Elephas maximus indicus: one gene and its partner. The protein of the gene in region 1 purifies or fractionates together with the protein of each later gene. This does not show direct contact. Links are inferred from orthologs where the notes say so. Each region holds a gene or a part of one and is shown in the gene's direction. Other genes may lie near its edges. The genes, in order: GOLPH3 and FAM20B.

The links.
Region 2: the proteins of GOLPH3 (region 1) and FAM20B purify together in Homo sapiens (affinity purification with mass spectrometry; 3 studies listed by BioGRID and IntAct, with this or other methods). This does not show direct contact. The link is inferred for Elephas maximus indicus from reciprocal best matches to the Homo sapiens genes GOLPH3 and FAM20B.

Annotation. Positions count from the first base shown.
Region 1 is NC_064820.1:37,293,423-37,309,381, reverse strand, and holds the start of GOLPH3 (Golgi phosphoprotein 3), read left to right. Parts: upstream 1-10,252; 5' UTR 10,253-10,519; coding exon 10,520-10,744; intron 10,745-15,959. UniProt on the Homo sapiens protein: Phosphatidylinositol-4-phosphate-binding protein that links Golgi membranes to the cytoskeleton and may participate in the tensile force required for vesicle budding from the Golgi.
Region 2 is NC_064842.1:41,941,297-41,956,987, forward strand, and holds the start of FAM20B (glycosaminoglycan xylosylkinase), read left to right. Parts: upstream 1-7,616; 5' UTR 7,617-7,745; intron 7,746-11,364; exon of another isoform or gene 11,365-12,064; intron 12,065-15,691. UniProt on the Homo sapiens protein: Responsible for the 2-O-phosphorylation of xylose in the glycosaminoglycan-protein linkage region of proteoglycans thereby regulating the amount of mature GAG chains.

The DNA of each region.
Region 1 (15,959 bases):
TTAACTCTTGCCTTTCACAATTGCTTTTGACCACACTCTCCCCTTCAGCCCAGCCGAAACAGTCTTCTATTTGATTCTCCATCATCCCATGATCTCTCCTTGCCACAGGGCTTTTTTGTACATGCTATTTTCCTGATTCCTAATCTGGTTTATTTAACTTCTGTTCATCCTTTGGCTTACTATTTCCTCAGAGCAGCTCTCTTTGAGTCCCAGATAAAAGTAAATTTCTTCAATATGTGCTCTATAGTACTTTATTTGTCCCTTCAAAGCATTTCTGTTTGTTTATGCACTGATTAATGTGATGATTTGCTTAATAGCTGTTGTTCTCCACTAAGCTGTAAGCTTCATGAAAGCTGTAACTCTGTCTCTTTTGGCTGGCTATTATATCCTTGAGGAGCCCTGGTGATACAGTGGTAAGTGCTCAGCTGTTAACCAAAAAATCAGAGATTCGAACCCATCAGCTGCTCTGTGGGAGAAAGACGTGGCAGTCTGCTTTGGTAAAGGTTGCCGTCAAGTCATAGCGACCCTATAGGACAGAGTAGAACTGCTCCATAGGGTTTCCAAGGAATGCCTGGTGGATATGAACTGCTGATCTTTGGCTTAGTGGCTGAACTCTTAACCACTGCACCACCAGGGTTTCCTTGGTAAAGATTACAGCTGTGGAGACCCTATGGGGGCAGTTCTACTCTGTCTTATTGGGTCACCTTAAACTGGAATCGACTCGATGGCAACATATCCTCATTTCTTAGCAAGGTGCCTGGCATACAGTAGGCACTCAACAAATACTTCCTAAATGATTTAACTTAGGGCCTGGGTTTTAATTGAAGCTTTGTAGTTTGCCAGATGTGCTATGTTGAGAAGATTAGTTAACTTCTCTGAACCTCAGTCTGTTTCCAGGTAAAATGGGTGCCTTAATCTGGGTTTCCTAGAAAGCAAGGCCTAAGACAAAGGCTTTTATGCCACTATTTTATTTGGACGTACAACTGCAGGGAGCACGAGCAAGGGAGTAGAACTGCTCCACAGGGTTTCCAAGGCTGTAACCTTTTGGAAGCAGATCGCCAGGCCTGCCTTCCTAGGTGCCTCTGGGTGGGTTCGAACTGCTAACTTTTTGGCTTATAGTCAAGTGCTTAACCATTTGTGCCAGCCAGGAACTCCTTAAGAGTGTGCTACTGGTGCATAAATAGACCGCAAGTGTATATTTTTTGGGGAAAAGCCTATTTATCATTTTTTTAATAGCATTGTTTGTAATAGCAAAGGATTGGAAACAACCTAAATGTCCATCAATAGGGGACTGGCTAAACAAAGTATGGTATGTTCATACTATAGAATATGCTGTAGCTGAGACAAAGCGTGAAGAAGCTCTTCAGTATTGATATGCAAAGTTTTCCAACGAGGAAAAGCATTTTCGTATTTGCTTGAATCTACATTAAAAAGTTTTGGAAGGGTATCCAAGAAACTAATATCAATGGTTATCTGTGTTTGTGTGTGTTTGTGTATGTATTACTGCATAACAAATTACTCCAAATTTAGCAGTTGAAACAACACACATATATAATCTCACGGTTTCTGTGAGTTAGGAATTAGGGAGCAGCTTAGCTGTGTGGTTCTGGCTCAGAATCTTTCATGAGATTCACCTGAAGGCCTGACCGGGGATGAAGCATCTGCTTCCAACATGGCTCCCTCACATGGCTCTTGGCAGGAGACTTCAGTTCCTCCCCATGTGGACCTCTCCATAAGGCTGCTTGAGTGTCTTTATGATATGGCTTCCCAAAAGTGAAGGACCCACAAGAGAAAGAAAGATGCTGCAAGGATTTTTATGACCTATTCTAGAAAGTCACACACAGCCACCTCTGCCGTATTCTATTTATTGGAAGAGAGTCACTCAAAGGGAGGGGAATTAGGCTCCACTTTATGAGGGGAGGAATATCAAAGAATTTGTTAACACATTTTAAATCTACCACAAAGGGGAACAACTGGGTGAATAGGGGTAGTTGGAAGAAAGATTTTCACCATACCACATTTTTTAAATATAATTTTTATTGCGCTTTAAGTGAAAGTTTACAAATCAAGTCAGTCTCTCACACAAAAACCCATATATACCTTGCTACACACTCCCAATTACTCTCCTTCTAATGAGACACTCTGCTCTCTCCCTCCACTCTCTCTTTTCATGTCCATTTCACCAGCTTCTAACCCCCTCTACCCTCTCATCTCCCCTCCAGGCAGGAGATGCCTACATAGTCTCAAGTGTCCACCTGATCCAAGAAGCTCACCCCTCACCAGCATCCCTCTACAACCCATTGTCCAGTCCAATCCTTGTCTGAAGAGTTGGCTTTCGGAATGGTTCCTGTCCTGGGCCAACAGAAGGTCTGGGGGCCGTGACCACCGTGGTCCTTCTAGTCTCAGTCAGACCATTAAGTCTGGTCTTATGAGAATTTGGGGTCTGCATCCCATTGCTCTCCTGCTCCCTCAGGGATTCTCTGTTGTGTTCCCTGTCAGGGCAGTCATCGGTTGTAGCCGGGCACCGTCTAGTTCTTCTGGTCTCAGGATGATGTAGTCGCTGGTTCATGTGGCCCTTTCTGTCTCTTGGGCTCGTAATCACCTTGTGTCCTTGGTGTTCTTTATTCTCCTTTGATCCAGGTGGGTTGAGACCAATTAATGCATGTTAGAGGGCTGCTTGCTAGCATTTAAGACCCCAGACGCCACTCTTCAAAGTGGGATGCAGAATGTTTTGTTAATAGATTTTATTATGCCAATTGACTTAGATGTCCTCTGAAACCATGGTCCCCAGACCCCTGCCCCTGCTACACTGGCCTTCGAAGCATTCAGTTTATTCAGGAAACTTGGTTTAGTACAATTGTGCTGACCTCCCCTGTATTGTGTGCTGTCTTTTCGTTCACCTAAAGTAATTCTTATCTGCTATCTAATTAGAGAATACCCCTTTCCCACTCTCCCTCCCTCCCCTCTCTCTCAACCACAAAGAGTGTTTTCTTCTCAGTTTAAACTGTTTCTCCAGTTCTTATAATAGTGGTCTTATACAATATTTGTCCTTTTGCAGCTGACTAATTTCACTCAGCATAATGCCTTCCAGGTTCCTCCATGTTATGAAATGTTTCACAGATTCCTCACTGTTTTTTATCGATGTGTAGTATTCCATTGTGTGAATATACCATAATTTATTTATCTATTCATCCGTTGATGGGCACCTTGGTTGCTTCCATCTTTTTGCTATTGTAAACAGTGCTGCAATGAACATGGCTGTGCATATATCTGTTCGTGTAAAGGCTCTTATTTCTCTAGGATATATTCCAAGGAGTGGGATTGCTGGATCGTATGGTAGTTCTATTTCTAGCTTTTTAAGGAAGTGCCAAATCAATTTCCAAAGTAGTTGTACCATTTGACATTCCCACCAGCAGTGTAGAAGTGTTCCAATCTCTCCACAGCCTCTCCGACATTTATTCCTTTGTGTTTTTTGGATTAATGCCAGCCTTGTTGGAGTGAGATGAAATCTGAGTGTAGTTTTGATCTGCATTTCTCTAATGGCTAATGATCGTGAACATTTCCTCATATATCTGTTAGCTACCTGAATGGATTCTTTAGTGAAGTGTCTACTCATATCTGTTGTCCATTTTTTAATTGGGTTATTTGTCTTTTTTGCAGTTGAGTTTTTGCACTATCACGTAGATTTTAGAGATCAGGTGCTGATCAGAAATGTCATAGCTGAAAACTTTTTCCCAGTCTGTAGGTAGTCTTTTTACTCTTTTGGTGAAGTCTTTGGATGAGCATAGGTGTTTGATTTTTAGGAGCTCCCAGTTATCTAGTTTTTCTTCTACATTCCTTATAATGTTCTGTATACTGTTTATGCCATGTATTAGGGCTCCTAACATTGTCCCTATTTTTTCTTCCATGATCTTTATCGTTTCAGATTTTATATTTAGGTTTTTGATCCATTTTGAGTTCGTTTTTGTGCGTGGAGTGAGGTATGGGTCTTGTTTCACTTTTTTGCCTATGGATATCCAGTTATGACAGCACCATTTGTTAAAAAGACTGTCTTTTCCCCATTTAACTGTTTTGGGGCCTTTGTCAAATATGAATTGCTCATATGTGGATGGATTTATGTCTGGATTCGCAATTCTGTTCCATTGGCCCACGTATCTGTTGTTGTACTAATACCAGGCTGTTTTGAGTACTGTGGTGGAATAATAGGTTCTAAAATCAGGTAAAGTAAGGCCTCCCACTTTGTTCTTCTTTTTCAGGAATGCCTTATTTATCTGGGGCCTCTTTCCCTTCCATATGAAATTGGTGATTTGTTTCTCCATCTCATTAAAGAATGTCTTTGGGATTTGGATCGGAATTGCATTAAATGTATAGATTGCTTTTGGTAGAATAGACATTTTTATAATGTTAAGCCTTCCTAACCACGAGCAAGGTATGTTCTTCCACTTATGTAAGTCTCTTTGGTTTCTTGCAGAAGTGCACTGTAGTTTTCTTTGTATAAGTTTTTTACATCTCTGGTAAGATTTATTCCTAAGTATCTTATCTTCTTTTACTATAAATGCTATTGATTTGATGATTTCCTCTTCGATGTTCTTTTTGTTGGTGTAGAGGAATCCAGCTGATTTTTGTATGTTTATCTTGTATCCCGATACTCTGCTAAACTCTTCTATTCGTTTCAGTAGTTTTCTGGAGGATTCCTTAGGGTTTCACTATATACATTTTTATACTCTTCGAACTATGCAAATATATTAATTGGTCAAATGAGCTATTAATTACATTTCTTAAAAAAAGAAGGAACACAATTTCAGCTATTTGGGAAAGCATTAGAAGAAAGATGAAGGAAAAAAAAAAGAGTTCCAGAGGATGTGAATGGGAGAAATTGGCTGAGGCAAAAACGATCTTTGTACAGAAAGACAGGAAAAAGTGAGGGCATATTTTGTATACCTTGGTTGTGCAACGGTTAAGAGCTCAGAGCTCATGCTAACCATCGGGTCCATGGGAGAAAGACCTGGCAATCTGATCCTGTAAAGATTATCCGTTACCTGTTGCCGCCTAGTTGGTTCTGACTCATGTTAACTTTATAGGACAGAGTGGAACTGCCTCACAGGGTTTCCAAGGGTATAATTTTTTTTCCTATAAAAGGAATATATTCATAACAAAGGCACAGAAATCATTGTATACCAAGTTCAATCCTCTAACATCCTGAAATACATACACATACATACTGTACATAAAATTATATTATCAATATAAAAACACGTCATTAACTTTTCTAAGGATGACAAATATAGAACCAAAAAATATCAGAATTCTATAACATCTTCTTACATTAAGTGCTGGTGAATAAGATGACAGTAAAAGAAAGAGGTCAAAGCGGACCAGAAAACCAACCTCATAACGGCAGGTTACAGACCTCAGTTGGTTTGCAGGGTGTTATGGATTGAATTGTGTCCCCCCAAAATGCATGTCAACTTGGCTAGGACATGATTCCGAGTATTGTGTGATTGTCCACTGTTTTTTCATCAGATATGATTTTCTTATCTGTTGACAATCCTACTCTATGATGTTAATGAGGTAGGATTAGTGGCAGTTATGTTAATGAGGCAGGACTCAATCTACAAAATTAGGGTGTGTTTTAAGTCAATCTTTCTTGAGATATAAAAGAGAGAGGTGAGTAGAGAGACAGGGGGACTTCATACCACCAAGAAACAAGAGCCGGGAGAATATCGTGTCCTCAGGACCCAGGGTCCCTAGGCTGAAAAGCTCATGGACTAGGGGATAATTGATGACAAGGACCCTCCCCCAGAGCCGACAGAGACAGAAAGCCTTCCCCTGGAGCTGGCACCTTGAATTTGGACTTCTAGCCTCCTAGACTGTGAGAGAATAAATTTCTCTTTGTTAAAGCTATCCACTCGGTATTTCTGTTACAGCAGCACTAGATAACTAAGACAGGGGGAGGTATCCCAATATTCCCCATGCATTTAAAAGTGCCTGATGTCATCAACTCTCAAAGACAGAGCAAGGAAGAATTTGACATTATGGCACTTTTTTTTTGGCCACAGAGACACACTTCAGCCGCATTTAGTGAAATAAAGGAATGTCAATAAGCTTAACTTAAAATCACTGCCTTCACAACCTAAACTATGTAGCACCAGGCAGAATGTACTCCTCCTTCCTCAACCTTTGTGTCTCATGTTCAATTGTTTTTCCTTTTCAGTAGGTAAATTGCATGGATATTCAAATGGCACAAACGAGATGAAAACCCAACATTAATTCTAGCGTGGGAAACAAGGCACAAGTCTTGATGGCCCCACTGGTGAAGTGGAAAGTGCTGCACTCTAGGACAGACATTCAGGATGGAAACTTGTGTCCAAATATTAGTAGGCTACTGCCACATGGATGCTCTTTTCATAAAGTGTAGGAAACCCCATGTACTTCTAAAATGTCAGAGGCTGGGGGCTGGCTTACAAGACAAAATAGGGAAAACACGTGTAATTGATTTTGCCCATGGACCAGATTTTCAGATTTTAACGCGGGCAGACAACTGGTGAAGAGCTTCTTAAGAGTTGTATTTAAGTCAGGAAATTCTCTCTCTTGTGTGTATGTATTTCTGTCAGACAGGTGAAGTATCTGAAATGTGCTGTGTGAGGGGACAAGGGGGACAAAACATTGCCACCATCCCACAGCACATTTCTTTAAGGTCTGTGAGGCTTTCTAGTTTCTAACCAAATAAACCAAAACACCAAACCTGTTGCCATTGAATCTATTTAGGTTCCTGCAAATCAGCCAACCCCCTTTTGTTTCAGGCCGGATTTCTGGCTTGAATGTGTAACAGATTATCTAGAACTCAAAAGTTCTTTCTGCTACCTTCGTATTGACCTTGAGGTCTAGAACCTAACGTAAACTTGCATGAGGCTTTCACTACTCAGACTAATCCCAGGAAAGACTCCTTACTCAGGGATCCCCTTCCTTGGAGTCAGAACCAGTGGCAGGAGCTGGGAGGTGAGGAATGCATTGGAGGATGGGGTTATCACGAGAAGTGTAGAACTGAAAAAGCAGCTGTACATTTTAAGAAGACTCTGGTTTCTCCAACTCGGGATTCTTGGAACCCAGTATATATTGGAGAGTTCACAGGTCAGGCTGCATGGTCCGGTCCAGAATCTGGCTGGTATCTGGTTTCCTCGCATCATAAATACTTCCTTACAGATCAAGTACAACTCAAAAGAACCCATCCAATCAACATATCACAATCGGCTTTGCCATCACTGAGTCAAATCATCTATAAGATCTTGGAGCTCCTGAATCACTTCTGGAAATGAGGAAACAGGATTTATTTAACCTTTAAGAATGATACACCATCTGGTGTTAGCCACATCGAAGGCTAAGTAAGTCAAAGTTTGGAAGCTGATTTGAATAACTGCAATGATCCTTGGGTACTGCAGGTTCTTCTCTTGCTGCCCAAAGTCCTCAGAGGTGTAGAGCGCCAGAAGCAGGGACGGGTCAGTCCTGGAGGTACAACCCTGCCCCCTGCCTGTCCTGAGGAAGCAGTGAGATGTGCATGCTCAGAGCTGCACTGGGAAGGGTGCATGGTTACAGTTCCTAGGACATTCTGTCCACAAGCGGCGGCTACTCCTTGGGCTTCTCTAGAATGTTGAGGAATTTCCCTCCTGTCATTTCTCTGGACTCATCCAGACCCAGCTCGAAGGCCAGATTCTGAGGGCCTCATACCTTCTCCATTAAATTAGCTGTGGTGAGATGCCCAGCTCTTTCAACATGTCAATACCATCACATTCTATTTCAGCCAGAAATAGGTGGAGAGCTAGAAATAGGACTTTTTGAAGGAAGCTGCAAATTCAGCAACACCTGGTATTCGTTCGGGCCAAAGGTCTGGTGAGCCACGGTCACGTTTTTCAAAACTAGGCCAAGGTGCTTCCAGATCTGTCCTGTCTGTGGAAGACGCCATCCTCCAACCCATGTCCTGTAATCTTTACAGAAGCAGACTGCCACATCTTTCTCCTGGTGGGGATGGACTAAAGCCGCCACCCTTCTGGTTAGCAGCTGAGTGCTTAACTGTTGTGCCATGAGAGCTCCTTTTTGTTAGATCACAGCCAAGAAAACCCTATGGAGTAGTTCCAGTCTGTCACACAAGGTCACTATAAGTTGAAATTGACTCCAGGGTACCTAACAACTTACTTTGTGCACACCTCAGGAGGAGAAGATTTAGGAAGATTTGGGTAGTGGAGGAGCCAGGGCGAGCTCTGGATAGTAGGTTTCTGTGTGTGTGGGGGGGGGGGGGTGGTGGCTGAGGGATAGGGGGCAACAGTTAGCATCTTGCAGACAGCGTGGCCTACTGACTTGTTATAGTGTTATAGTGGACGTTTTTTCATTCACTGGCTACCTTTTATAGCTTCAGTCCTCTTACAAGGATACAGTTCTCATATCTAAACCATTTAGTAACAGCCTGTGGTCACTGTTTAAGTAATATTGGATGGCATTACTGGATACAAGCTCCACCGTCCCTCAGGTTTGACATCCATCCTTAACATAATTTGCCCAAATGAGACAGGGAAGAGGTAGGGCCGGCTATAATTAAATGCCTCTGACTCAAGTATTCTTGGAATCTAAACCTAAGTGCAAACCTCCATATAACTGTTACTGCTAGCACCTGAGAACTACTTGGGATTAACAAACTAGGTGCTAAGACAAGATAAGGGGCTACATTCCAAGCCCCTGTGTGCTTGAATAGTTATAAATTAAAAATACCTAAGTGCAGACCACCATGTAACTTTTACTGCTGGCACTCGAGGACTAGTTGTGATTAACAAACTAGGTGCTTGGACAAGATAAGAGGCCATATTTCCTAGTCCTACATGCTTGACCAGCTATAAATTACTGATAACCCTCCTGAGTTGTTTTTCAAGTCCCTACCAGGTGCATGGCATGTGCATTAAAAATCAAGGCAACCTATGAATGACCTTCCACATGAGATAATCACAAGCAGGGATCCCTTGCCGGACTGGAACCTGGAGCCAGAGACATCACTGCATGCCTAACAGCCCAGAATTAACTCCCGTTCGACAGCCCAGCAGCCCTCCTGACAGACTCAATCTTAGTTCCAACAACCTCTGGGAGGAAATCCATCTTGAATTCCAACTGCGCACGCATTTGATTTTCATAATCCCTCCTCTTCTCCTGGAAATCTCCACCCATCTAATGAAGGAAGAAAACCTTTTATAAACCCTAGGAAATCCTTTGTTCAGGAGAGACTGGAGGCTAGCATAGGTGGAAAACCCCTCTCCATCTCTCCCTTGAGAGCCTTTTTACTTTCTTTTTGTCACTAATAAACCTTTGTTCGTGTGGAACCTCAGAGCCTCTCCTGGTCATTCTCGGTCAGAAGAAGGTAAGAACCTAAGCAGGGCTTAGTCCCCAGCTGGGAAGCCCTGCCCTGTAACACAAACTGTCAAGCACGCCAAGAGAATTTAACCTAGTAATTAAATTGAAAGATTTAATATGTACAAAGACGTGGCATGCAACCCAACAGGTTTACGATTTCTATAAAAAGGTCGTTAAGGTCGAGTGGGCTAACGTGTGCAACACTAACTGTACTTACTGCAGCCTGGTCACTTTATAGCGCAAGTCGAGAGGTAAGGAAAAGTTATATGAACAAAACTATTAAATTTCCTTCTAACCTCTGTTTTCATGTATTAACACACCTAGAACACACTACAATCCCATTCTAAAACCCTTTATATGCTGGTGTTCCTTTCGAAGGTCCAGAGAGTCTGGGCAAAGAGTGCGCCCTCTCCTCGCCCCGCCAGCAGCGAGCAAAGCCCTTCGTTCATCTCGCGGGGACGCTAAGCCTGCTCCCTGCCACCCGGGCCAAGGACCCAACACCGAAGACTGTGGTGTCCAGGATTCTAAGAGCACAGCTCGAGGCTGAGCAGTGCCCACCCCTTGCTCCCCCATTCTTGTCTGCCAGCCGCAGCCCGTGAGGTGAGGGGAGGAGGAGCGGGCGCAGGCGCAGGAAGGACACGTCACAGGTAGGGGATGGCAGGTCGGGTGGCGAAGGGACGCGCCGGGAAGGGCAGGCGCGGGCCGGAGCCAAGGGCCCGCGAAGGGGATCAGCTACGGCGAGTCTCCGCCCGTGCCCGCCGCCGCGTCCCCGCCCGCTGCTTCCGGCTCCGTCCGGTCCGCCCCGCGCCGACTCTGCCACATCCTCCGGTGACGTCAGCTAGCGCCGCCATATTGGAAAGGCGCCGCCGCCTCCTCCGCTTCGGAGCTTGGGCGCCTCGGGGGCCGCGACCGCGGGGAGGAAGGAGCTCCTCACCAATCTTGCCGACGGCTGGCCCGCCGGCTCCCGCCCCGGCCCGTCTCCCCATGACTGCCCCCGGCCCCGCTGCCGACGGACGTCGCTCCAGCGCCCGGGTTTAACACGGAAGCCGCGGTCCAGGGCCGCGGGAGGAAGAGGAGGAAGACCCGGTAGGTCCCGTGTCCCTCTCGGCCCGGCGCCTCGGCCGGAGCCATGACCTCGCTGACCCAGCGCAGCTCGGGCCTGGTGCAGCGGCGCACCGAGGCCTCCCGCAACGCCGCCGACAAGGAGCGGGCGGCGGGCGGCGGCGGTAGCAACGGCGAGGACGACGCGCAGAGCCGCCGCGACGAGCAGGACGACGACGACAAGGGCGACTCCAAGGAAACGCGGCTGACCCTGATGGAGGAGGTGCTCCTGCTGGGCCTCAAGGACCGAGAGGTAGGGGCGCGACGGCGAGGGCGGGGCGGCCCCAGGGGCCCGGGCCAGGTGGGCGCCCACTGCGGCCCCGCACGCCTGCTTGTCTCGCTCCCGAGTTCCGCGCCGGGGCGCCAACTTGCCCCGAGGAGTGTTGGAGTTAGTTTCCCCTCTACTGGCCCTGTGCTCTCCACATCCTCCCAGTACAGATTGCTTGGATTTTCCATTCCTCCCTCCACGGGCACACTTTCATTTCGACACCCTGGCAGTCTGCATTTCCTCCTTGATTTTTTTCCTGCTTGATTAACCCGTGTAGACCCCAGGTGCAGCTCCAGCCTGGAGACTGTAGGTTAGAGTGAAAACATCTGGAACCTCCAGCGCCCCCAACTCACGGGTTTTGCAGGGTTGAGGACCTGGGAGGAGTACACGGATCTGCTTTCTGGGGAATTTTTCCCCCAATTAAGGCGCACTGTTGCAATTATGAAAATTTTTGGTGAAGTGGTAGTGGAGACAAAAGTTATTTTGCTGAGTAAAGTTAAAAGTCAAACAAAATCCTTGTGGACCCTCCTGGAAAGTTACTTTTTGAGTGAACTTGGCGTTCGGTGAGAGATTATTTTTAGTGGCGCCTTTAAATTGTCAGTTGACTATTCTCAAAGTCTTGCCATTTTCAGGAAGGGCCTTTTATGTAGGGTGCTTGAAATGCTATGTTTATAATTTGATGAGAGGCCTCAAAGCCTTTAAAGAAAAATCTCCAAAGCAAACACAGTGCCGTCGAGTCGATTCCGACTTATAGCGAAGTAGAACTGCCACCGTAGAGTTTCCAAGGAGCGCCTGGCGGTTTTGAACTGCCGACCCTTTGGTTAGCAGCCGTAGCACTTAACCACTATGCCACCAGGGTTTCCAGAAACCAAATCCACTGCCATCGAGCCAGTTCCGACCGATATCAAGCCTAGAGAGGACAGAGTAGAACTCCCTCCTAGGGTTTCCAAGGAGCAGCTGGTGGATTTGAACTGCAGACCTTTTGGTTAGCAGCCAAGCTCTTAACCGCTGCCCCAAAGCCTTTAGGTAGGTTAAAGTTGTGAAAGATATTTCTTTGTGTTCTTACTATAAAAAAGATTAGTTTCACCCCAATATTTTATGAAGATTTTCGCGCATAGGTTTGGAAAAGTTGAAAAATGAATGATACGTGAAACAGTTAACGGTTTGGTTTGTTACATGTACAAAAATGATTGTCATTAAAGACAGATCTGCATACCCTCAGAGAAGAGTATGGTGAGGTAGTCCCAGAAGCTTGTTTTATCTCAGCGTGGAAAATGCAGACAGCAGGTACTGAGAGTCAAACTCAAAAGTAATCCCAAGTTTTATTTCTAAGAGCATTACAGATTCATGGAGGGGGGCAAAAAAGTTTCAGTATTGTAAAATAACTTAGTTTTTTTTTCTGAATTCATCAAAACCTGACAGATACAGATGAGTTCTAATTACGTGGGCTGTTTGTGGACTCCTGATACTTGAGAAAAAAGTTTACCTTGATAGAAATGCGAAGAGCTTTTGCAATATCTCGGTTTCCCATTTGCCCTGGCTTTAGTAATCACTTTGAAAAAAGTTGTTTTATTTCAGTCCCCTTGGCTGTGAAAGGGGCCCAGTACCTGTTTAATTACTGAGTTTTGATGAGAAGAGGTAGGCTATATGAGAAATTTCTTTATCCTGTTTTGGATGAAAAAGCATCTAGATCTACAGTTTCCTAGTAATGTGATTTTAAAAAGCATTCAACTTACCTTTTTAGGCATCACAATTTGGAATCTTGCTAATAAACTTGCTTAAGTCTTTTTTTTTTCCTTTGGGAGAAGAGTAACAGATCACTGCAGACATTTTACAAAATACAAAAAGGGAAAATGAAGAAATCACCCATATTCCTGTGTGAACATTTTGGCTTACAGTTTTTGAGACTTTTCTGTGTGGTTAAGTCCTGTGTTTGTGTAAAATGAAAACATAAAAAACAAACAACCAAAACCAAAACAAAAACTAGCATCTGGCACTCTGAGTCACACTAAATGAGAAGTTATGGTGAGAAACTACTTTTTTTTGTTTTTTAAAGTATATGTTACTCTGAATGTTTATGCTAAAGCATATTAACATACAGTTTTTCTGTGGTTCTTGTGAAGATGATCTAAAGAATTTGTTGAAGTTTAATGGTACTTATGAAATTGAGACAATTCATAGTTCTTTGGTGCAGGTAATGAAAACCATCTGTTGTGTTTATTTTGTGTCAGGAGTCACTATACTTTGCATGTTATGGCCAAGGTCCAGACTAGCTAATCCTGAGCTACCCTTGCTGATTTCAGAAACCACATAGGGAACTTTTTTTTTTTTTTTTGCAGACAAGTCCAGGGAGTTGAGAGGGAAGAGGAGGAGGTTGGAATTTTGCATTGCTTTAGATTTGTGGTTTTAAACGTTAGCTTATGTATATATTTTCCTGTCATCACATCTTTATATACTAATATCTAGCCCTCTCAGTACAATTATTCATGTATTTTTCTTTTGGGGAAGTATCCCCCCCCCATGTCTTTAACTTGTATCACTTTTTTTAGGGGGCAGGAATTGCTAGAGCCTAGGCATTTATTCTCATTCATATTAATAGTTTTTGAGACTTTTCTGTGTGGTTAAGTCCACACAGAAATTGGATACAAAACTTTAGCCATAATATATAACCTAATAAATTTACTCTTTGAATTTTGTTTTTTTAACTTAGCATCCATCGTTACAATATCTGGATATTCTTAAGATATTTAAAAGCTAAACTCTAAAATTAGGTAGGTTATTAATATTGGGTTTAATTTATATGTATGGAAGCTAACCATCTGAAATCAAGACCATCAAAAAATAAGAATTGCTCATTGGTAGAATTAATTTTAATTTGACTTTCTTAAAAAACTATGACTATCAATTTACGTTTTATGGCTTATTACAAATTTTTTTTAATTGAAGACTAATAAACCTACAGAAAAGTACATACAGGCAGTCCCCGGGTTTTGAACATCTGACTTACTTACAACCCTTATTTATAACCCGTAGTTCCGGACCAGTCTTTGTAAAGCCCATTATGTTACAAATTTGAGGTATGTACAATGGTTTGTAATAACAAATGGATGTTACTTTGTGACACGAAACAAAACATTACTATTACTGTATTATTATTTTAAAGATGTTTTATTGTATGTGGAGGTATTTCGTGTTTTTTATGCATAGAAAGGTACACTATATACCAAGACAAACATTTGACTTACTAACGTTAGATATGAACCGTTCCTATTAGTACAAATTCAACTTAAAGACAGACTTAGAAACAGAGCTCTTTCATAGTCTGGGGACTGCCTGTATATCATAAGTGTGATGAAGTTCCACAAACTGAATACACCCATTTAACCAGCACCTAGAGCAAGAAACAACCTGGCCAGCTCTCTAGGAGCCCCACTTAATTCCTTTCCAGTCACTGTTTATTCCTCAGGGGTAACTGCTAAGCCTGACTTTAGAATTTAGCTCAGATGTATTTTGCCCAGTTTTGTACTTTCTTTTGTGTTTGGCCTTTTTTTTGTAAGGTGATTGTTCATTCTCATTGGCTTTATCAACTTTTAACACATTTATAATCTACAGTACAGATTACTTTTTTTTTTTATTAACTTTTATTAAGCTTCAAGTGAACGTTTACAAATCCAATCAGTCTGTCACATATAAGTTTACATACATCTTACTCCGTACTCCCACCTGCTCTTCCCCTATTGAGTCAGCCCTTTCAGTCTTTCCTTTCCTGACAATTTTGCCAGCTTCCCTCTCTCTCTATCCTCCTATCCCCCCTCCAGACAAGAGCTGCCAACACACTCTCAAGTGTCCACCTGATATAATTAGCTCACACTTCATCAGCATCTCTCTCCCACCCGCTGACCAGTCCCTTTCATGTCTGATGAGTTGTCTTTGGGGATGGTTCCTGTCCTGTGCCCACAGAAGGTCTGGGGAGCATGGCCGCCGGGATTCCTCTAGTCTCAGTCAGACCGTTAAGTATGGTCTTTTTATGAGAATTTGGGGTCTGCATCCCACTGATCTCCCGCTCCCTCAGGAGTTCTCTGTTGTGCTCCCTGTCAGGGCAGTCATCGATTGTGGCCGGGCACCAACTAGTTCTTCTGGTCTCAGGATGATGTAGGTCTCTGGTTCATGTGGCCCTTTCTGTCTCTTGGGCTCCTAGTTGTCGTGTGACCTTGGTGTTCTTCATTTTCCTTTGCTCCAGGTGGGTTGAGACCAATTGATGCATCTTACATGGCCGCTTGTTAGCATTTAAGACCCCAGACGCCACATTTCAAAGTGGGATGCAGAATGTTTTCATAATAGAATTATTTTGCCAATTGACATAGAAATCCCCTCAAACCATTTTCCCCAGACCCCCGTCCCTGCTCCGCTGACCTTTGAAGCATTCATTTTATCTCGGAAACTTGTTTGCTTTTGGTCCAGTCCAATTGAGCTGACCTTCCATGTATTGAGTGTTGTCTTTCCCTTCACCCAAAGCAGTTCTTATCTACTGATTGATCAATAAAAAATCCTCTCCCTCCCTCCCTCCCCCCTCCCCGCTTCGTAACCACAAAAGTATGTGTTCTTCTCAGTTTTTACCATTTCTCAAGATCTCATAATAGTGGTCTTATACAATATTTGTCCTTTTGCCTCTGACTAATTTCGCTCAGCATAATGCCTTCCAGGTTCCTCCATGTTATGAAATGTTTCAGAGATTCGTCACTGTTCTTTATCGATGCGTAGTATTCCATTGTGTGAATATACCACAATTTATTGACCCATTCATCTGTTGATGGACACCTTGGTTGCTTCCAGCTTTTTGCTATTGTAAACAGAGCTGCAATAAACATGGGTGTGCATATATCTGTTTGTGTGAAGGTTCTTGTATCTCTAGGGTATATTCCGAGGAGTGGGATTTCTGGGTTGTATGGTAGTTCTGTTTCTAACTGTTTAAGATAACGCCAGATAGATTTCCAAAGTGGTTGTACCATTTTACATTCCCACCAGCAGTGTATAAGAGTTCCAATCTCTCCGCAGCCTCTCCAACATTTATTATTTTGTGTTTTTAGGATTAATGCCAGCCTTGTTGGTGTGAGATGGAATCTCATCGTAGTTTTAATTTGCATTTCTCTAATGGCTAATGATCGAGAGCATTTTCTCATGTATCTGTTGGCTGCCTGAA
Region 2 (15,691 bases), on another chromosome or scaffold:
TCAAAAAGAAAGACCAGACTTGCTGGCATGACAGAGACTGGAGAAACTCTGAAAGTATGGCCCCTGGACACCCTTTCAGCTCAGTAATGAGGCCACTCCTGAGGTTCACCTTCAGCCAAAGATTGAACAAGCCGTGCAACAAAACAAGACTAAAGGGGTGCACCGGCCCTGAGGCAGGGACTGGAAGGTAGGAGGGAACAGGAAAGCTGGTAATAGGGAACCCAGGGTTGAGAAAGGAGAGTATTGACATGTCATGGGGTTGTTAACCAATATCATACAATGATGTGTGTAGAAATTGTTTGATGAGAAACTAGCTTATTCTGTAAACCTTCATCTAAAGTTCAATAAAAAGTAAAAAAAAGAACCTCTAATACATATATATGTGTGTGTATATATATATATATATATATTTTTTGTTAATGCAATTGAAGGAGGGACAAAGTTCTCTCTGATTTGTTGTGTTCCTCAACACTTCTGGTTGTCTCATCCTTGGCCTGCTTCACTCATTCCCCTTTGTGGCTGGCAGCCATAGGCTTCTGAATGCTTAAGCCCCACTGAGAGGAAAGATGCAGAGGGTCTGATCCACCAAGGGCAGTATCTTAACCACCCAGGTCATTGGCTTCCTTGTCACATCTCTCTTACCTTCACTTACTACTGGGTGGGGGGTTGGAGAGAAATGACTAGTTTCCTGGTAGCAGGTGTTCTGAAAGACCAATCCACCTCCCTTTGAAAATAAAAATCAATTGCGCACATATTAGACCGAGGCATATGAAATTGCCAATATTCATCTAGTCTTGGCCTGTAAAAATGGCAGTTTCATATGGTTCAACCTGCTAAGTGATTCTGGCTTAGTCTCCAGTAGAGCAGTGGTTCCCAACCTTGGCTGCAAATGAGAATAACCTAGGTGCTTTTAACAAATACTCTTGCCAGGACCTCACCTGAAGACAATCAAATTTTAATCTTTGAGAATAGGGGCAGGCATGTTGCTGTTGTTAGTTACTGTTGAGTTGACTCCAACTCATGGTGGCCTAACATATTACAGAACAAAACACTACCTGGTCCTGTGCCATCTTCATGATATTGGTATCTTTGAGCCTATTGTTTTGGCTATTGTGTCAATCCATCCCACTGCGGGTTTCCCTTGTTTTTGTTGACCCTCTACTTTACCAAACATGATGTCCTTTTCTAGTGATTGTTCTTTCCTGATGATGTTCAAAGTACGTGAGTCAAAGTCTCACAATCCTCCCGTATAAGAAACGTTCTGGTTGTATTTCTTCTAAGACTGATTTGTTCATTCTTTTGGCAGGCCATGGTATGGTATATTCAAAATTCTTCAATATCACAGTTCAAAACTCATCAATTCTTCTTCTGTCTTCTTTTTCACTGCACAGCTTTTACGTGCATATGAGATGACTGAAAAGACACAAGGATGTTTTTTTAAAAGTTACTGTACGGCCAGATTGAGAACTGCCATTTTAGCACATTCCCGAGTCAAAGAGCCTTCTCCCTTAACTCCTTAACCTGTGGATGATGGAGGCTTGCTGGCTTTTTGTAAGAAAAGTTGGTAAGAGGAATTTGAGGGACCCAGAACTTTCATGTGACTGGCAGTGGTGACCCAAGAATTTCAAATACTTAAATGCCTTAAATTGAGTTAATAAAAATTCAAGATCTTCCATCACATCAAAAAAAATTTTTTTTCAAGTATGTTAAACAGCCATATGCATGTGGCATCATCCTAGACATATTACAAAATTACTCTTTTATGGGAATTAGCAATATTGTCTATACCGAATTTGCAGTATTGTCTATACCAAACCCATCGAAGAGCCTTCTGGCATTATAGAAGACATAACAAATTGGAAAATGTTCAAAGACATGGCCTTGGACATTCATTCAAGAGTGTATATACCACCACAAATTGTACATTTTGGAATGCTTAATTACATTACTGCAGCCATCCGTGCAATAAAGTGAAACATAGCTTTGAGAGCCATATCTCCTTTGCATTCTTATTAACTCTAAATGTTTAAAAATAATAACCTGTGTCCCTAATTTTTTTTTTTTTTTTTTGCTTCTAATGAGCAGATTTAATAATCAAATGGACGGATAAGTATATTTTCAAAAACTCTTTACTTCTTCAGCGTGAGTTGCTCAACTCTGCAAATATACTAAAAACCAGTGAACTGTACACTTTAAACAGTTAAGCTGTGCTGCTGTTGTTAGGTGCCACTGAGTTGGTTCCGACTCACAGTGACCTATGTACAACAGAACAAAACACTGCCTGGTCCTGCACCATCCTCACAGTCATTGCTATGTTTGAGCCCATTGTTGCAGCCACTGCATCAACCCATTTGGTTTAGGGTCTTCCACTTTTTTGCTGACCCCTCTACTTTACCAAGCATGATACCCTTCTCCAGGGGCTAGTCCCTCCTGATAACATGTCCAAAGTACGTGAGACAAAGTCTCACCATCCTTGGTTCTAAGGATCATCCTGGCTGTACTTCTTCCAAGACAGATTAGTTTATTCTTCTGGCATGGTATATTCAATATTCTTCGCCAACATCATAATTTAAACATATCGATTCTTCTTCAATTTTCCTTATTCATTGTCCAGCTTCCGTGTGCATATAAGGCAATTGAAAATACCAATGGCTTGGGTCAGGAGCACCTTAGTCCTCATGGCAACATCTTTGCTTTTTAACAGGTCTTTTGCAGATTTGCCCAATGCAATATGTCGGTTGATTTCCTGACTGCTGCTATCATGGGCATTGGTTGTGGATCCAAATAAAATGAAATTCTTGACAACTTCAATATTTTCTCCTTTTTTCATGATGTTGCTTATTGGTCCAGTTGTGAGAGTTTTTATTTTCTTTATATTGAGGTGTAATCCATACTGAAGGCTGTAGTCTTTGATCTTCACCAGTAAGTGCTTCAAGTCCTGTTCCCTTTCAGCAAGTAAGGTTGTGTCATCTGCATATGGTAGGTTGTTAATGAGTCTTCCTCCAATCCTGATCTCATGTTCTTCTTCACACAGTCCAGTTTCTCAGATTATTTGCTTAGCATACAGATGGAATAATTATGGTGAAGGGATACAACCCTGACACATACTTTTCTTGATTTTAAACAGTGCAGTATCCCCTTGTTCTGTTGGAATGACTGCCTCTTGGTCCATGTACAGTTCCACATGTACACAATGAAGTGTTCTGGAATTCCCATTCTTCACAATGTTATCCATAACATTGGGTGTGTCTGTTTTGTATGTGGTTTTATAAAGCTGTCACTGGGACTTGAAAGGTTCTCTGATCGACACTGACAGAGGTGCCATGCGAAGGGTTGAGTGAGTGGTCCCGTTGCTGTAAACGAGGGGAGGGCCAGGAGTAGCTCTGCAGAGCTGGTGGCAAAATGAAAGAAATGAGTTTGGCCATTTGGGAAAGAAATGCAGAGGGGCTGTCTACTGAGAGCCAATGCAGAGAATAGACTTGTGGCACACACTCCTAGCAGGGAACAAAGGGACATGTGTGCTCCTTCACTCACTTTTCTTCCTGTCACTGTCACCCTCTCCCCAGGCTTCTAGCACCTTGGAACAGAGTCAGCTTTCCTATAGCTCCTCTCAACTTTCTAGATGTAGAATTAATGTAATTAGCTTTAATGGGACCCATCAATGTGAGTGTACTAATTGGGTTAAAATAATCTGTGTGTGTTTTATGTTTGTGTGTGCAGGCACCACGAGATCTTATACTTTGGGTTGTGGGACTGTTATTTGAGTCCTGGGGCTTACAAATTGGCAGAGATTTGGAAATTCTGAAACAGTTCAAGGAAAATGTTTACACCTACCATAGGGCTAAGAAAGAAACCTCCAGGGCTCCTGGTTTCCCACCTCAGCCAATCCTGCTCTTCCTAAAACTCTCTTTTTTCAAGTGTTGCGTGTGTACCATGTGCCATGAACAGTGTTAGTGCTACAGAAGACACAGACATGAATAAAGCACTGTCCTCAGCCTCAAGGGGTTTACAGTCCAGTGGAACGGGGTCAGATATAGCCCCAAAGGCTTCAATATAAACGATACCACAAGAGAGGTGCAAAGACAGTACTGGATCTCAGAAGCAGAGGAAAGCACACACAGTTGGAAAGGTCAGGAGAGGTTACATGAGCAAGCGGCTTTTGAGAGCCATGTAACATTTTCATGGGTGGACCCTGGGGTGGGGGTGAAGTGGGAGTGCAGGAGGAAGAACCGGTGTGATCATACCAATAGGGGTGGAGGATGGAGGACGGGGAGTGTGCAGAGGGCAAGTGGGCCCTTTAGGGCAGAGGGTAAGGAATTAGCAGACCACGGGCCTGAAAAGGTGGACTGGGACCGTGAATGCAAGCAGAGGAGTTTCTGTCCCATTCAGCAGGTCACAGACATGCCACTGGAGGGTTTCACTCAAGGGCCTAATAACCAACAGAACCACGCCGTTCTTGGCTGGAGAGGGACCCGCCAAATTCCAATCCTGGTTTCAACTCAGTGCACTTCAACACATCACATGAAGAAGGTTCTCTGCATGAGGCACTCCACACGTGGAATATAAAGATGAAATAAAGTTGTAATTTGTGTCCTAAAGAGCCTTGTAGTTTGGTAACAGGGGATAGAGAGGGGAACGGGAGATTAGATAAAGACACCTGCAACCACAACACATCACAGAGTGAGAGAAGCATCTTGGGGGTCTTAGCAAAGTGCTCAGATCTTCCTGCTAGGGCTCTGCTTGACTTTTCATTCTATTTCTCAATGACAGATTGTGAGCCTGTAAAGGATGAAAATCAGACCTTCTTCACCTTTGCATGGCCTGGCTCTAGGTCAGTGCCCGGCACTTGGTAGATATTCATTAAATGAATGAGTGAACGAACGGTTCTTCCATTATGGATCATCTGCTGAGGATATGTGTCTCTAAGTTCACGCGGTGCTACCTGACTTTGGTTCATAATGTCCCTCTATTCTCTCACCTGTTTTTTGCTCATCTCAAGTTCCTTCCCTGACACACCAACCCACATTGTCTTCCTGGACTCTGATTCTTTCAGCCATCACAGAGTCTGTGCTGCAAAATTTAAGTGTCCCGTGTTCCCTGCAGCTGCTTCCTGTGTGCTGGTGATACAAACCCTCTGATGGCAGAGTCCCCTTCTTAAATGACTGTACCTGCTAAATACCTAGAATACAGTGGCTGTTGATTGGTTGGGAAATAAGACCCATATTAGGAGGAGGGAGGAGAAACGAAAGTCGTGAAGGGTCAGGCACAATCACAAAGAGCCTAGGTAATGTGGCCTGGTGAAGAGAAAACTGGGGGACAGAACAACTTTGCTGTCTGAAAGCCTTTGACACAGAGGCCCATGGCTCTTCTTTTCTGAGGACAGAGAGGAGGAAGGGTGTCTGTCCGGCAGCTGAAAGTCCTAAAGACAGGCACTCATCTGTCCAGGAAGCTGAGGCAGCAAGAAGGCTGGCCTTCTGAGCAGTGACAGTAGGAGAGTCCAGCTCGTCATCCTTGTCAGTTACAGGCAAGAAAGGTAAAGGGTCTTAGGGAACTGTTGATTTACCCTTTTGCTTTCAGATCTCTGGATGTGATGAGCAAGGTTCAAGGGGATTAGCTGTCTGTAGGTAGACTAATGTTCCTGTTTAGAGATATACACTAGACTCTCATTACCGTACAGCTCATTTTCCCAAGGATTGTGTAATCCATGGTCAGAAAAGATTCCTAATCCTTTTCAACTATATCCAGAAAAAGGTTTATCCAATGCCTTCTGCACATGACTGTACACTCCTTGCAGTGATTAATGCTTCCTTCAGAGGGGTTGCCTCCCTAAGTAGACTGTCAGGGGCTGGTAACCAACCCAATTATTTCTCTAGGATCTCTTGATAGTAAACACATACATGAATAATAACTAATATTACACAACAATTTGAAAAGTACTTTTCCCACACATTTCCTAATATAAGCCTGATAACAACTCTTTGAAGTAGAGACTATGATTAACTCATTTTCCTGTTAAGGACATGGATGCTCAGAGAGGTTAAATGGCATGCTCAGTATCATAAAGTCAGTAAGGAGTTTTTCCCACTATACCTTGCTGCTTAAATGAACAATGTAATCTGAAAAGGTGTCAGCTCGGTCTTTTCCCCATCACACATCTTATCCCATGGAGAAATGTGCATTATAATGTTTTGGAGTCAGACACACTAAGTTTAGGAAATGGTGAATGAATGAATGAATGAATGCATTATATAGTAAGCAGATTGTCTTAGTCATCTACTGTTGCTGTAACAGAAATACCACAAGTGGATGGCTTCAACAAAGAGAAGTTTATTCTGTCGCAGCCCAGTAGGCTAGAAGTCCGAAATCAGGACACTGGCTCCAGGGGAAGGCTCTGTCTGTTGGCTCTGCAGAGAGGTCCTTATCATCAATCTTCCCTTGGTCTGGGGACACCCCAGCACAGGAACTGCAGGTCGAAAGGATGAACTCTGCTCCTGGCACTGCTTTTTTGGTGGTATGAGGTTCCCCCATCTCTCTGCTAACTTCTCTCTTTTATATCTCAAAAGAGATTGACTTAAGACATTACCTAATCTTGTAGGCCTCATCAATATAACTGCCGCTAATCCATCTTATTACATTAAATGAAATTATTATAAAATATAACTGCCGCTAATCCATCTTATTACATTAAATGAAATTATTATAAAATTAAATTAAATAGGATTTACAACATATAGGGAAATCACATCAGAAGATAAAATGGTAGACAACCATACAAGGGAGTCATGACCTATCCAAGTTGACAGATATTTTGGGGGGACACAATATAATCCATGACACAGACACTCTGTATGAACTCAGAGTAAAGAACTTAGGGGAAGCGAGAATCTTTCATTCAAACTATTTACTGGGAGCCTACTGGGTGTTGGGCATTAGAGACTCACCCAGGCATGACGACCCTGCCCTCGTGGGGCTTACACGTAGTCCAGTGCAAGAGACAGCCGTTAAACAGCTAATCATATAGTAAATTAATCACAATTTTGTTAAACGCTATTAAAAGCTTGTAGCAAGGAACTGTGCTCTGGTTTGAGGGAAAAGAAATTTGTGTAGGAAGGCTGGCTGGCCTCTTTGGATAGGCAGAACTTCCAGGCAGAAGTCCGGTAAATCAAAAGGGCAAAAGAAGGGAAATTGCTTGTCACAAATAGAAGTTGGCCGGGGTACTCCAACTCTCCAGGCCCGTTGCCTGGCTGCCTATCTGCCCAAGACGAGCGAGAAGGAAAAAGCAAGGCAAGAGAGAGGCCAGTTTATGTAAGCGGGGCAGGGCGGCGGGGAAATGAAGTAGAAACGGAGGTGAGCTGGCGCTGATAAAGGGTGAAGAGGTCCCAGCCCGGGACGGAATGGGTTAAAGAGGGGCAGTCCCGAGCGCGGTCAGTAGGACCCGCCCACCGGAGTACGGGGGCGGGGCCGCGCCGAGTGAGCCCTTGGATTGGTCGCGAGGAAGGCGTTACGCTAGGACGGTACCAACAGCCCGGGGCTGCGAGGAGAGGGGGTGGGTGTGGGACGGCCGGCTCTGCGCAGGGAGAGGTGGCCGGGGAATGGCCCGGCCGGGGATGGGCGGGAGCCGCAGTGGCGGCGGCGGCTGGAGGCGGTGAGCGCGGCGTGGGGCTGCCCCTCCCCGGAGGCGGCGGGGGCGGCCGGGCCGCGCCGCACCGCGCCGGCGGCCATGGAGCGAGCCTAGGGCCCGGCAGGTGAGCGGCGTGGGGGCGGGGGCGGGGACGGGCGCGGGGGCGGGCGTGCGACCCCTGCCCCGGCCCGACGGGCGGGAAAGTGTGGGCAGGCACGCGGGCGGGGCGCGGTGCGTGGCGCGCGCCGGGCAACGGCCGCCTGGGGGCGGGGAGCCTCCCTGAGGGGCCGGGCGCTCGCGCCCGAGGGGTCCGGGAGCAGCCGCGGGCGGGTCCCTGCCGTGGAGACAGGCCGGGTGCCGCACTCCTGCGGGCGTTCGCGGGTCACGGCTGAGGGGACGCGGCCTCGGCTGCTCCTCCCCGCCCCGACGGAGGCGCGGGCCTTACCTGGGGGCGCCTCGGGCCGCCCGGGGTCCTTCTAGTGACCAGCCCTTGCGCCCGGGCGCGGTCCATGGAGGCGCCTGGCCCAGGTGCCGCCCTCGCGTCCCTCCGAGCGCCCGTTGCTGCGGCCTGGGGAGGGGCGCGCGCCCGCTGGGTCCCTGCCGGGCCCGCCTCGTGGCCGAGAAGCGCAAGCGACCTGCAGGCGGGGGCGGCAGTGCCCTGGGTTCGGGGCTTGTGTCCCGCGCTCGCAGTCGGGCACAACTTAAGGAAATGATAGGGTACTCCACAGTGGGTTGCGCTTGAGATTTCGTTTCCGGGTGTGATGGCCCCACGATTAAGAGCGACCCAAAGCGTTGCTATTAACGATGAATGTGAGCAGTTGTCAAGCTTCATCCCTGATTGTGGAGTCTGATAAGAGATTCTGTCTAATCACACTTCTGTTACGTGCAAGTCTCCGGGTGGGCAGAGAAGGATGTTGGAGGGAGAGTGGAGGGGACAGAGCATGGTTAGTCGTTATGGAATCAATAGTTTTTTTTTAAAGACCATGTCACCTTTTGGATGGGTGAGGAGTTTGTAATTTGGAGAATGAGAGATGCTTGATACTGCTACTTACAGAGACAGGAGCCAGGTATCAGTATCATCCCCACCCAGCCAGTTTCCTTCTGAGGTTTGATTTCTCATCTTGAAAAGAGGTTGGACTCTGGGTCTTTTAGCTTTTAAATTCTGGGACTTATAAATCTGTAATCTGATAAAGTTAACATTGTTGTTTACTATGTCTATCCTCCTTGTGTTATAAATTCATGTATAAATTTAACTTTTTTTTTTTAATTGGGTTAGAGACCTCAGTATGCTTGTGTTTTACAAACATTCCATGAGTGTATGCAGGACCTTTGAGCTAAGCAACTTAGAGCATTTCCATATATATTATTTGTCACCAGGACATGTCTTTGAGAAATTGAGGTACAAATGTTAAAGATGCTAAATTGTTTGCCTAGGCTCAAAAACAGTCTAAGTTAGATTTTAAAAGTAATGCTTTCCAGTAATAACTTTTCTGAACTTTGTGAAGATATTGTACTTTGGACCCTAGAACCATGTAATAGAGGCCCTTCCACATTTGAAGGTGCTTGTTAAAGGAGAATAAAAAGGTAAAAAAGAAAAACAAGGGGAATGAAAAGGCACAAGCAAGTAATTCAGACTCAGCCTCACTACTAAATAAAGTGCAACAATAGAAATGGATGGAGGTAAAAGATGATGGAGAAATCTTGGAGTTCACCACTTTCCATCTCTCTGGCTGGTAAAAATGTGAGATTGATTTGTTCCGTTTGTTTCTTTAGAACTAGTAGGCAAATCACTACATTTTGGTTAAAGAATGAAAACATATGCCCTACTTTATCTTCCTGGGTACTTTGGACTAGGAAGCAAACAAAAAAAAATCACTATTTCTATCTTTATTTTTCACAATACTTTATATCATAGAACTGTTTTATGTTGAGTTGATAATTTTTAGAAATTCTCTTGATTTCCATTTGTAGATTTCAACTCTTTGACACTGTCTTGAAGCTTCTGCTTTTTATCTTTTCTGAATTTCTAAATGAAATTTTCTTTGTTTCCTTTACTTTTAGCTTCCTGTACTTTGTGTGACTGTCATTTCAGTGGTATAAACCCAAGATCCTTCCATTCTTGAATTGATAACTTTTTAATATAGCTAACCACAGTGGTCTCTTGGTGATCGCTACCATTTCATAATAGAAAAAGTAGGTTCTCTTTGTATTCTTTGGTCGCAGTTGCAAACAAAAAGGAGAATCTTCTGATGATGGACGTAAGGTCACTCTGTGGGACTAAGTGCCAGATGGTTTGTGAATTGGGATGGGGACCACAGTTAGCATGAGACAGTACAGTTTGTTTTAATAGTTACGACAATCAGCATACTTTTCTTTCTGCACCTAACAGTGCCTACTGCATAGTAGGCATGCAGGAAATATTCATTAGTTGAACGAATGAATGGGAAACAGTAGGGTGTAGGGGAAATATTCTAGTGATTGTATTAAATTGTTTAGTTCCTCTTTTTGTCAAAACAAAAACCAAGAAAATTTATTTCTGACTCCTGTTGAAAATATTCTGTTGAGATGGGTTTCTGAAAAGACCTTTACTTGCTGGAGCTGCCTGAGATTCTATGATTATATGGTTCTCCAGCTACATGCAGGCCTGGGAGCAGCCTGTGGTGCTCAGGTAAGATGTGGCTTCACAGACTTGCACCTCCTCTGGCTAGGCCACCTAAGCCATTGGCTTGGTAGTCAATACTTTAGCATTAATAGAAGAATCTAGAGCTCTTGGTATTGGCCCTGCCAGTGGCATTGATCTTGACTGCCCATATTCTTGTCCCTCATGTGGAGAGACAAAATAGGAGAGGGTGCTTCTTGAGGAACCCTGGTGGCACAGCAGTCTGCTTCCATAAAGATTTATAGCCTTGGAAACCCCATGGGGCAGTTCTACTCTGTCCTGTAGAAAAAACCGCTGAAACATAAATGCACCTGTACAGAATATAAGTTCACTATCTAAACCAAGGATGAGAAACAAAAAAGTTCTTTGGCAGCCCAAATAGTGGTTACAAAGTTCATACACTAATACTTGATGGAATTGACTCAAGGGCAACAGGTTTTGGGTGAGGTGCTTCTCCAGCAGCTCCTCCTTCCGCATGTATATATTTCTCACTCTCCTCCTTCCTTGAGCTGCCTCTAACCCTCAAGGCCACTGCATGATTTCTTTAGTGGCATGGACCTGGTGTGCAGGGCAGAAGGTCTTACTCTACTACTGAAGCCAGCTTCTGACCAGCCTACAGTGTCAACGTGACTGCTAGAATCGCCTAGAAGAGAATGTAATGCACAGATCTCACTTCTGATTTTTGTCTTTCTTATCAAAAACAAAAGTACGCCTAGCTCTGGACTTGAAGAATCTTGAGGTGAGTGTGTCATTCCATTCTGAGAAATGGAGGCTTATGCAGAAAGGAGACGTTGAGCTTTGGTGTATGTTTGGGGTCCACATTTTCTGGCCAGGTAACAACCCTTGGGAGGGGTTTTTACTTGGGGTACATTAGAAAATGTCAAGGATTTATGAGTCGGAATCGACTCGACGGCAGTGGGTTTTGGTGGTGGGAAAGCGGGCAGAACGAAGTAGAAGATCCCTATCATTCTGTGCTCTCAAATGTTGACTTTCTGCTTTAGCAACACACTGCATTTACCTAGTATTGTTAGGAAATAGGGTATTTTGTGCCATAGTTCTTATTTTAGCTACACTTTTTGTAGAAAAACTTTTTATAATGTATTACATAGTTTGTTTCCTTTTTAAACAATATACTGTAACCTTTTTTTGTTGATTCAAGGTAATGACTGCCAGTGTCAATTACTGACATGATCAAGTGATGCTTTGAGGTGATTGAAATATGTAGATTGTTTGTTCATCCTGCTTTTTGAATTCTTATATATACTTTTTATAGTCAGTCTGTCTCTTTTTCCAGGATGGGAAAGCTGTACTTTTGCTGCTGTTGGTGTCCCTGCCGCCCTCTCTTAAATATACAGCTTCTGATCTTCTGTGGAGTAGGAACCAAGATAACTGCCTCCTGAAATTGAATGTCAAACGGCTAAATAGGCACTGGAGTCTATTGGCTTTTGTCTGAGTATTAGTGTATGAACTTGGTAACCACTGTTTTGGCTGCCCAAAGACCTTTTTTGTTTATTTCTTGTTTCTCATCCTTGGTTTAGGTAGTGAACTTAAGTTCTGTATAGGTACATTTATGTTTCGGTAGTTCTTTCTGTAGAAAAAAGAAAATAATATGGAAGTACTAGCGTTGGTTCTCATTTCAGAAAGCATTGCCAAAAATACGTGAAGATCTGGTTCCAGCCCTGTCTTGCTTCATTCCTGGGTAGTGTCCTGGGCCATCTCCATTCTTCCTCTTGGCATTTCTAGATTGGTGTCTGCTCCCACTTCGAACCACCACAAGGAACCAGGTTAGCAGTAACAGTGGCCTTGAAAGGTGAAAGAAAGGTATACAGAAGGCAGCTGTTTTAAATTGAGCGTATAAAGTTGATATGCATATTAGATATTTCAGCATTTTGACTGTACTGTATATATGAATTTGTTACAGGGCTTATTTTCCCCATGTCAGTAACGGGCCATCTTTAAATCAAAGAATTGATGGTTCAGAATAAATTCTTATAAAGGCGTTTTTCTTTTGCTCTACACTTCTTTTATTCAACAAGCATTTATTGAGTACCTCTCATACGCCTTGCATTGTGCTAGGTTACTTGGAAAACAAAGAGGGTAACATGTTCCCTATACCCAAGGAGTTCCCAGTATAGTAGAGACAGGCATGCCAAGAATGGATGAATGAACGAAAATATTCATATTTACAAAGTGGTCATACTTGAAGCTGCCCAGCCAGAATTGCAGCACAGACCTGCTTCGGGTTCTACTATTTCTGAAAGTGGTCTTGTGTGGCCTGTGTGGCTTAATACAATCTAGAACATAAGGTTTAAAATGTGAGGTGTTATTGTGTAAAGCTTATATACCTTTTCAAGAGCTGTAGTGAGATGAACAGTAACAATGGAAAGCATAAGAAAATCTGCTTTAAATTATTTTATTTAAAATTCCATGTTTCCACACTATACAGGAATTGTATTCTATAAGATAGCCTTAAGTGGTGGTTATGTACCGACAGCTTGGGCAGTGAAACATCTAGAACCCAGGAAGCTTCGTTATACCTGGCCCATTTAAAGCAGAATGCAAATTCCTAGACGTTTCTAGAGTTTCTAGATCAGTGTGCACTGCCTATATTAGTTTTTTAGAATAAATCTCACCAGCAGTATGAGCTAAGTGTCCCATCCCCATGCCCAAGGAAGAGTGCTAGAGAGTTGCTCTAAATCAAGGTTTAAATGGGGTGAGGTATAGGAATTAAATTTTTTTCAAAGAGGGAACAAACACTCTTTAATATCTGTTCCATTTGTACTCTCACACCCAGGAAGAAAGGCTACCTTAATGCCTCATTAATGCCTGGTAATCGTTTTGGTTGGCATCCTTCACAGGGGACTATTAGAGGATTTCACATAAGAGATTCTGAGTTTATAGATACAACTGTTTAAGTGGAAATGAAAACAGTGAGGAAAATCCAATGCCGGGACCAAATTGGACTATAAGAATCAGATTTTTTATACCAGTAACTCTAAGTTGCTCTTAAGAGCTTTACTTTTTAGGACATATGAAGCTGTCATCTTTAAAGCACAGAGCTAATTTTCCAAGCTGAAGAATATTGTGAAGTGCATTCTCTTTCAACCTTTTTCTAACATAGAACAAGTTCATGCTTCCCATCTGTTTCAGTTACATTGAATGTAGTAGAACTGAGCGTCATAGAGAAAAGAAACAGGCTGGTGAGATTAATAACACAGCCTCCCAGTCTTCTACTTCACGTGGTGCCCACTCTGAAAATGTCTTTTTGCCTGGTCTTATCTGCTCCTCAAACTCGGGAAAGGGTTTGGTTTATGGATTCAAGACAACTAATTACCCTTAAACTCTTAGCAATGCAATGTGTGTATTCAGTTCCTGATTATGTAACTGAGAAGACAAAGTATGGGATGTTGACTCCAGTCAGGGTAATTTTCTTTGTCATTCGTTCTCCTCGCAGGAGATCATCTTTGGATTTATGGTAAGATAATAATGATTAACACTTACTGAACGATTACTGTGGGTCATCCAGGTACTAATCTTAGCACAGCACCTGTAGCAATGTCATTCATTCTTAACAGCAACCCTGTGAATCAGGTAATATGCTCTGGTTTCCATTTTTCGCATGCTGCAGCTGAGGCCCAGAGGTTAGTTAAATCACTTTCTCAGGCCCCACGGTAGGTGGTAAGGCAGGCATTCAGCCTTTTCCATTCTGAATCCGATGCACGTGCCCTTAACCACTCTGCTATAGAAGAGCTTACTTATACCGAGAATAAGAGGGTGAATGAAGAAGCTGTTTCTTGAGTGGAGAATTAGCCAGGAAGGAAAAAACATACATAGGAATGCTGATTAATGATGACACTTGGCATTGGTTTTTATTTTTAGTGAAGACTTCTTATTTGAAGATGAAAAGGAAGAAGGATGTGCTGTTGTGGCAGGCAGCGGGTGGCCGTGCAGGAGTGGGCTGGTTTTCTCTGGGTACTGTACTTGCGATTTATTCAGGTAATAAACACTTGATGCTGTTCAGTATTGGAGGTTTTGACTTCCTGGATAGAAGCACACAATGCGAAGTGGAAAGATACCTGAATGCTCTTAATTTTACTTCTAATCATTGCCACTAACCATCAGGAAAGACTGCATTATTTCAAGGGGGAAGGAGATGGAAACTCTTAACAGCTAATAATGTAGCACATTGCTCTAATGGCACTACCAGTTAAAAAACAAAGGAGCAATATGTCAGACTCAGCCCAGGGTGAAAACGGGCATATGTGTTTTGTACTGATGGATTGTGATCTTTGCTGCCGTTTAGGTTACGGCTGAACTATAAAGATTAGGCTTTATAAACTGAACATGTGAGTCGTGTGTGTGTGTGAGGTTAGCCTTGACTGCTCTGCACAGGACTGAGTAGGGCTCTAAAGTATGTAAATAGATTTTAGCAAATATTCCAGTTGAGAGTCTATTTCTTCCTGTGTTACCTTTGAAAGACCTTAATTATGTATCTCCGTAAACATCTATAGTGGAGGCAGAAAAGAAGTAGAAATGGCGTATAACTTTAATAATGATTTTATTGCTTTGTAGAAGGCACTAAGAATCATTTACAAATATTACCTGACAATTTATTATCAGTCTAGTCTGTTTTTATTTTCAGTGGCTAATTTAATGTTTTCCCCCTCCCTGGGAGAATTGCTTTTAATTACACAATTTATTTCCCTATGTCCTCTTCCCTGGTATTTTTAATATCCCCCAAATAGTTGATAGGGCTAAAATAGATGTGAGAATATTGGATTTTTTTCCAGGCTGCCACATTGGACAGTAGTAAAAGGCGAGGGATCTTAAAAAGGATGAATACTGAATAAGGAGTTGTAATACTTATCTATTGCTGATTTACAAACCATCCCAAAATTCAGCAGCTTAACCAAAAAAAACCAAACCCAGTGCCATCGAGTCGATTCCGACTCATAGCGACCCTATATATTAGCAGCTTAAGACAGTAATTTATTATTTCTCATAAATATGTAGCTCAGCAGGGCTCAGCTAGTTGGCTTTTCTGCCCACATGGTACAGGCTGGGGTCACATGTGTGAGTATGTTCAGCTGGGACCTCATCTGGGGCAGGAATGTCCTCTATTGTGTCTGGCACCTCAGCCAGGGTGACCAGAATAGCTGGGACTGGCTGGGCCCCTGTCTCCATATAGGCCTCTCATCATTCAGTAGGCTAGCCTGAGCGTCCTTATGTGATGGCTAGATCCCGAAAGAGCAAAAGTAGAAGCTGCCAGCTGCTTTAATGCTTAGGCCCAGAACTGGCACACAGTCACTTCCGCAGCGTTCTGTTGGTCAAGGCAAATTACAAAGCCAGCCCAGATTTAGGGGGAGGAAAAATAGACTCTACCTCTTGATGGAAGGCAGTGTCCATCTTTA